2 linked regions of the Macaca mulatta genome follow. The protein of the gene in region 1 interacts with the protein of each later gene in a pairwise test. Links are inferred from orthologs where the notes say so. Each region holds a gene or a part of one and is shown in the gene's direction. Other genes may lie near its edges.

Region 1 (4,359 bases):
GAAGATAGAACTCTATGCCCTGCAAGCTACTGCTAGAAAACTAACACTTCTGTCTTCCCTCAGGACTCTCCTAGGCCCTTTCACCACTTCTCACCTCTCACCCACATTCTGCACTCCCAGCTAAAGCAGCCAAAGGACTAGTTGATTTGGCAGAGCTTTCAGGCACAAAGCCCTATACTCCCTCTGGCCCAAAGCCACTACTCTGAAGGCTGAAAACTGCCCTTTGGCTCAGGTTGCTGTCCAGTCACAGCCTCACAGATGATTTGTGCCGAACCTTGAGGTGAGGGCAGAGGCCACTTCTTTAAATACTTTGTCCTCTCTACTGCCTTACATTTGAAAAGCCCAGGGTGGATCAATAAGTATTAAATGTATAGCATATTACTCCTTTGAAGCCTCCCCGCTTGACTCCTCCCTTTCCTGCCTTCTCATTCCCTACTTTATTGCATCACAGATATGTAATTTATTACCAAGGATCTTTCATAATTCCCCACTCCCATCTCTTTCTTCTCTTGCCCACAGTGTGTGACTTAGAAGAGTCAACAATACATGTAATTCCACCAGCAACAAAGAAAATACGTTTTGTTTTCCTATTGTCCATTTTCACAAAGAGGCCCTTCTTAGTTAATCTGAAAGCTATGGCTTACACCATAGTCCTCCATCATATCTGAAGCCAGGAACTAGAACTTGGGCTTGTGCTTGAGTCCTGGCTAAAGAAGGGTTGAGTGGTGCTAGTTCTTGGTTGTCTTGCTATTGATTAGTGATAGAATCTTAGTCAACACTGTCGCTTATCCAGACTTAGGGGAACAAAAATCTACTTGGCTCTCCCACTTTTCATTCTGGTAGCATCTTAGGCCAGGTAAAGTTCAATAAATTTTTTTGAACTCTAAGAAGTGGAAAATCCTCCCTCAAAGGCTATATTGTCAAAAACAACTCCCGGCTCTGTTGCTTCTTCACTGGGGGCAATTTATCTCCATAATCAAAGACGAATACATTCAGATGAACTCTTCTGTGTGGGTTTAAATTTTACTGTTCAACATTCACTCTTGCTAGTAAATAAGAAAAGATGAGAGAAATGGATTGAGAACTGTCCCACAAGACCCTCTACAGAAAAGGAGCCAAAAGATTGCAGAGGTATATAGAACTTTAGAGCTTTTGAGTTTAACGATGTGTATATCTATACCTTCTTTCTGGAAAGCAGACTTTTGTGAATTGAGGGCAGGAACATTATAGAACTGATGCTTCATGGCTCTGGAATACTAAGTCCTCTGAGCCTGGATCTCCTTCAGCTCTGCCACCTACCTCCTTGTTTGCTAAATGTCCTTAGAGAAGTTAGGATATGCCCGGGGAACCCTGGGTCAGATAACCATGACAACTGCTGACCCTGCTTTCTTCCTCTCTGCCCTCCTCTAGCTGGGAGGCGTTAGTAGCATTGCCCAAGACTCCCAGGAGTGGTAGGAATTGTTTCTGCCTGAGGAGACGCTCTGCAGCCTGGGCTCTGTGAGACTGACGTGGCGGTCAGCTGGAGTGAGTGTTGGGGTCCTGGGGCACCTGCCTTACATGGCTTGTTTATGAACATTAAAGGGAAGAAGTTGAAGGTAAGGGCCTCTTGGGAATTTTGCTTGGGATGAAAAGCTCTGCAGGGAAACTACTGAGGGAGAGATTCTGGTATAGATACTCTATACCAGAAGTATAGAATAGCTATTCTGGGGCTACTGTCTTTTCCAGAACACAGATATGTTTGCTTAGAAATAGAAGAATTGGGTAGGAACAGTGGATCATGCCTTTAATCCCAGCACTGCAGGTGGCCGAGGCAGGTGGATCACTTGAGCCCAGGAGTTCAAGAACAACCTGGGCAACATAGTGGGATCCTGTCTCTACAAAAAAAGAAAAAAATTAGCCCTGCATAATGGTACATGCCTGTAGTCCCAGCTACTTGGGAGGCTGAGGTGGGACGGTACCTTGATCCCAGGAGATCAAGGCTACAGTGAGCCATGATTGTGTCACCACATTCCATCCTGGGCAACAGATTGAGACCCTGTCTCAAAAAAAAAAGATAGGGAGAGGGGGAGAGGGACAGACACAGAGAGAGAGAGAGTGAGAGAGAGAGAGAGAGAGAGAAATAGAGGAATTAACCCAGAGCCTTTTCAAAGATGAAACCTGAAACTTGCGTATTTATTTTTTTAGAGATGGGGGTCTCACTATATTGCCCAGGCTGATCTCAAACTCCTGGGCTCAAGCAATTCTCCCATGTTAGCCTTAGTAGCTGGGATTACAGGTGCTTGCCAATGCACCCAGCTTGAAACTTGTTGTTTTAGTTTCTTTTGGACCCTCATTAAAGAGCCTTAAGACTTTAGCTAAAACTTTTTATCTCTTATGGCTGCCTGCATTTTTTATTTCCTAACCTGAACTCTTTTTTTTTTTTTGAAACGGAGTTTTGTTCTTGTCGCCCAGGCTGGAATACAGTGGCATGATCTCAGCTCACTGCAACCTCCGCCTCCCGGGCTCAAGTGATTCTCCTGCCTCAGCCTCCCAAGTAGCTGGATTACAGACACCCACCACCATGCCTGGCTAATTTTTGTATTTTTAGTAGAGACAAGAGTTTCACCATGTTGCCCAGGCTGGTCTCGAACTCCTGACCTCAGGTGATCTACCCGCCTTGGCCTCCCAAAGTGCTGGGATTACAGGCCTGAGCCACTGCGCCTGGCCTCCTAACCTGAACTCTTATAAAAAACGTTATTCTTGGCTTGGCCAAGGTGGGCAGATCACTTGAGGTCAGGAGTTCGAGACCAGCCTGGCCAACATGATGAAACCCCATCTCTACTAAAAATACAAAAATTAGCCGGTATGGTGGCTCATGCCTGTAATCCCAGCACTTTGGGAGGCCGAGGTGGGCGGATCATGAGGTCAGGAGATCGAGACCATCCTGGGTAACACGGTGAAACCCCGTCTCTACTAAAAAAAAAAAAAATTAGCCGGGCGTGGTGGCGGGCGCTTGTAGTCCCAGCTACTTGGGAGGCTGAGGCAGGAGAATGGTGTGAACCCGGGAAGCAGAGCTTGCAGTGAGCAGAGATCATGCCACTGCACTCCAACCTGCGCAACAGTGTGAGACTCCATCTCAAAAGAAAAAAAAACCCGTCTCTACTAAAAATACAAAAAATAAAAATAAAATAAAATTAGCTGGGCGTGGTGGTGGGCGCCTGTAATCCCAGCTACTGGGGAGGCTGAGGCAGGAGAATCCCTTGAACCCGGGAGGCAGAGATTGCAGTGAGCTGAGATTGTGCAACTACATTCCAGCCTGGGCGACAGAGCAAGGCTCCATTTCAAAGAAAGAAAGAAAGAAAGAAAGAAACATCAGTCTTGACAAGTAAGCTACGGAGCAACTCATTCCTATGGGACCCTAAGGAGTGGGGCTATTGTGTGTGACATTCACCCTCCAACCTAATGCCTTCCGTTCAGGGCAAATGGACCCCCAGGCAGCCTGGGCCTAGTTGGTGGCCATGAGAAGTAGGGAAGTGACCCAGTGGAGCTCAAGCCTGAGGGCTTCTGATGGGACCTGGGACTCTGTTTTGCAGCTTGAAGAGCTAGGATGGCAGTCAACAAAGGCCCCACCTTGCTGGATGGAGACCTCCCTGTAAGTAACTTGGGCTCATCTGTGACAGGGGATGGACAACTGAGGGAGGAGGAAGAAGCAGGGAGGGAAGATGCAGGGGACTTAGAGCAAGATATGCCCAGATTATAATCCTAGTTCATTGACTACCATGGCTTAGTTATTCTTGCCCTCACCACCTTTTGTAGAGGGCAGTTGGAGGATCTGGGAGAGGAAAAAAGACGCTTATTAAAAACCAAGCACCTTGGAAAAAAGGGACAGAAATCCTGGCTTAGGGACAGTGGGGAGTGGAGAGGAAGGGAATGACTATGTTTAAACCCTGACGCAGAAGCCCATGCTCTGTCCGCCGCCCAGCTGGATGTGTATTCAGTGCAGAGCCACTGCATTCTTTGTCTCCAGCATCATTCATATGGCAAATGGCACCTCCCGGAGTCAGACGGTGCACAGCCTGTGCTGCTGTGTCAGGGGAAGGGTGGGATATTCCCTGTGTCTGGTGTTCTATCTCTGACCTGGTTTTCACTGTGATTCGAAGTGGTTTGATACTTTTAGGAATGCTTGATGGCTCCTGGCAAGGCATCTCAGATTTGCACACAGTTCAGATAGTGAAACTTAAAAATTGTGGACCTGTACAATATCTACCTTGCCCAAGTTAGGCTTATACTAACTCTTGCACTAGGAATCACTTTGTTTTGTATTGAATAATAGAAGAGAGAGGCGTAAAATGGTCAAGTACATAGTGAAGCCATTCTAAC
Region 2 (3,812 bases), on another chromosome or scaffold:
CACTTTGGGAGGCCGAGGCGGGCGGATCACGAGGTCAGGAGATCGAGACCATCCTGGCTAACACGGTGAAACCCCGTCTCTACTAAAAATACAAAAAATTAGCCAGGCGTGGTGGTGGGCACCTGTCGTCCCAGCTACTCAGGAGGCTGAGGCAGGAGAATGGCATGAACCTGGGAGGCAGAGGTTGCAGTGAGCCGAGATCGCGCCACTGCACTCCAGCCTGGGTAACAGAGCGAGACTCTGTCTCAAAATAAAATAAGATAAAATAAAAATAAATAAATAAAAAAGAATGAGATATTGATCTTTGGCCATTTTTGCAGTGTCAGCCGTGATATAAATGGAACCATTGGATTTTTCTGAGTAGCCAGTGATCTACATCATCTCCCAGATTGTAACTTAAATAACAAATGCCCTTTTTTCTTTTATGAACACACAGTTGTGTACTCTATACATCTTTTATTATCCACATTTAGATATATTAAAAATAAAGCCCTCTTTCTACCATACACCGCTTAGATCCTACTGAATCTCGAAAGTTTACACAGGATAAGAGCGTAATACGACCTGTTCCGCCATTAGTCTTTAACGTGAAGATTTTTGAAGGTGGTTCATTCTACCTTTGTTTTATAAATCATGCTAGCTCTTTATAGACTTAGGGTGATTTTACCAAATGAACTTAAATCTGTTCTTTCCCCCAACAGGGTTAATCATCTCATTTTAGTGGAACCTTGGGGCTTCCCTGAACGACCAGACCTTGCTGATCAAGACAGACCAATTCCAGTTTGGATCAGAGCCTTGGGAGCAGCATTGACTCCCTTTAACCCTTTAGCTGGCCTAAGGATTGCAGGACCCTTTGGTGAGTGCTTATGTTCTAGGAAAGCAAGATGTTTGTAGATTATCAGAAGAGAATTCACTATTGTTAGTCAAAATGTTAAAAAAAATCCTCAACCCTTACTTTTTCTCCTCTTCCTCTAATAAGCACCATGTCTTGCACAAAGATGAATGCAACTAGGCTCTTCTCCTCAAAGGGGACTCTTTATGTTGTAAACATTACAAATAATTAGCAAAGCAGAAAAGGAGGGAAATGCTGGGGATGAGGTTAGTTAGTCCTCAACACTCTAAAAAAAGCCAGACAAGCAGAGTGTTTTGGGGAGGATATAAGGACCTCTGCTAGTCCAGGGCCTGGGAGAAGTGTAGCATGTTGCCCTGTTGGCGAGCATTGGAGAACATTTGGCCAATTGATGATACCATTTGGTAGATCATAAAACCTGATTTGATTTACCCTGGGGGGGATAACAGGTACCACCACACTCACAGATTCTTCCCTTATCTATGTCAGAATGTTGGATAGATAAAGTTATTTTTTCCACAACATTTTAGGGACTCCTGATGTATATTTCTGGTCATATTTTGAGGCACCAATGTTTAGTCCCTGACTGACTTTTATTTGATTCTCAGCAGTTCTGTCTCAGCCCCATAGCCATGGGAATTTCCTTCCCTCATTGTCACAGATAATGATGTTCCGAACTTCTGCCTTTCCCCTGTACAACTTGTATGAGTTTGGAGTACTTTTAGTTGTAAGTAACTGAATACCCAAGTGGCTTAAATTATAAGGCCTTTTATTATTTCCTTAATAAGCAAACTGGAGATAGGTTTTAGCACTTGTTCTGGTTGCTTGCTCATTGATGTTAGGATTTGGGTCTGTGTCTGTGATTTTCTTGACTATTTTCCTCACGGGGGTTTGATGCCTGCCATGGCATTAAGCGTCATCTCACAAATCAGCACTCTGATTTGTGAGCAAAAAGAAAGAAAAGCATGGAAAATGGTCCTTGTCTCCATAATGCTTTGTCAGGGAAGAAAGTCCTCTCTGGAAGGCTCCAGCCAACCTCCCCTTATGACTGCGCCCTCCTAGTCCTTCCACCAGCAAAGAAGAAATTTCTGTGACGGACCAATCATGATTTGTTCCCAGGGCCTGCTTTCCTGGGCGCATTGCTGCCTAATTGATACTATAGAAAAGATGTGTTCTAACCAGGTGCTGTGGCTCACACCTGTAATCCCAGCACTTTGGGAGGCTGAGGTGGGCAGATCACTTGAGGCCAGGGTTCGAGACCAGCCTGGCCAACATGACAAATCCCCGTCTCTACTAAAAATACAAAAAAACTAGCCAGGTATGGTGACACACACCTGTAATCCCAGCTACTCAGGAGAAGAGGCTGAGGCACAAGAATTACTCAAACCTGGGAGGTAGATGGAGGTTGTGGTGAGCCAAGGTTGCGCCACTGTACTCCAGCCTGGGCAACAGTGCAAGACCCTGTCAAAAAAAAAAAAGAAAGAAAGAAAGGAAAGATGGGTTCTGTTAGCAAGAAAAGAGAAGAGGCATGGGGGTATGGAGGAGGGTGTGGGATTAACTGTCATGCAGGTTACTGTAAATGCTGTTCCCTTTTGCCCACCCCTGGCCCTCCTTGCCCTAGTGCCTTCTCTTTGGATGGGGAGAGCAGTGGGACTGCAGGACTTAGAGGAGGGTATGGGGGTTGAATTGGTGACCACACTTTACTCAGTGCTCTTACAGATGGCACATTTTGCCTACCTGCAGTCTTTCAGCTCTCCCCAGTAGAGCCACTCCTCAGTATGATCCTCCTCTGGTAAACTACTTAAGAGCTTCGTTTAATCTTTATAACCCTGAAATAGAAATAGATTTTACTAGATCACAGGTACACAAATAACAATTATGGGAAAAATAAAGTATGAAGAGAAGTTAGGAGAAGTGATGGGCAAGGGAGGACACCTAGGAGAGGCTCTTTAAAGCCATGCCCTCAGCCTCCCATTATTGCTTGCACTTGGGGGTGGGAAGGTGATGTAGAATCAACTGCATGAGAGAATTTCTTGGTGGAGCTGTGTAATTCATCACAGATGGGAAGAGAGGGCCAGTAGAGAAGTAAAGCCTTGCTGGAGTTAATGGGGTAGTGGTACCAGAAAGGGAGACCAGTCAGTCTCTGGGGCCTCAGAATGGAAAAATGTGACTAGAGGAAAGCTTCTGCTCTTCATCCTCTTTCCCTTGTGGGCCTTGCCCTGGGCTTTTTCTTTTTTTCTTTTCTTTTTTTTTTTTTTTGAGACAGAGTCTTGCTCTGTCGCCCAGGCTGGAGTGCAGTGGCGCGATCTCTGCTCACTGCAAGCTCTGCCTCCTGGGTTCATTCCATTCTCCTGCCTCAGCCTCCCGAGTAGCTGGGACTACAGGCGCCTGCCACCACGCCCGGCTAATTTTTGTATTTTTAGTAGAGACAGAGTTTCACTGTGTTAGCCAGGAAGGTCTTGATCTCCTGACCTCGTGATCCGCCTGCCTCGGCCTCCCAAAGTGCTAGGATTACAGGCGTGAGCCACCGCGCCCAGCCTTTTTTTTTTTTTTTTTTTTTTTTTTTGAGACGGAGTCTCACTCTGTCACCCAGGCTAGAGTGCAGTGGCGCGATCTTGGCTCACTGCAACCTCCACCTCCCAGGTTCAAGTGATTCTCCTGCCTCAGCCTCCTGAGTAGCTGGGATTACAGGTGCACGCCCGGCTAATTTTTGTATTTTCAGTACAAATACAAAATGGGGGTTTCACCATGTTGGTTAGGCTGGTCTCAAACTCCTGACCTTGTGATCCGCCCGCCTCGGCCTCCCAAAGTGCTGGGATTACAGGCGTGAGCCACTGCTCCTGGGCGCCCTTGGCTTTTTCTAGAGTGGGGCTGTGTGCACCACCAGGGATAACCTTAGCAGGGGGTCTTGCTAGGGTCCTAAGAAAAAACTGAATTTATTTTCACACATAAATAATTATAT

The links.
Region 2: the proteins of PLIN1 (region 1) and ABHD5 interact in a protein complementation assay, tested with the Homo sapiens proteins (3 studies listed by BioGRID, with this or other methods). The link is inferred for Macaca mulatta from reciprocal best matches to the Homo sapiens genes PLIN1 and ABHD5.

Annotation. Positions count from the first base shown.
Region 1 is NC_133412.1:79,486,267-79,490,625, reverse strand, and holds the start of PLIN1 (perilipin-1), read left to right. Parts: upstream 1-1,410; 5' UTR 1,411-1,568; coding exon of another isoform or gene 1,569-1,595; intron 1,596-3,270; exon of another isoform or gene 3,271-3,364; intron 3,365-3,572; 5' UTR 3,573-3,586; coding exon 3,587-3,631; intron 3,632-4,359. UniProt on the Homo sapiens protein: Modulator of adipocyte lipid metabolism. Coats lipid storage droplets to protect them from breakdown by hormone-sensitive lipase (HSL). Its absence may result in leanness. Plays a role in unilocular lipid droplet formation by activating CIDEC.
Region 2 is NC_133407.1:107,022,211-107,026,022, forward strand, and holds part of ABHD5 (1-acylglycerol-3-phosphate O-acyltransferase ABHD5), read left to right. Parts: intron 1-701; coding exon 702-856; intron 857-3,812. UniProt on the Homo sapiens protein: Coenzyme A-dependent lysophosphatidic acid acyltransferase that catalyzes the transfer of an acyl group on a lysophosphatidic acid.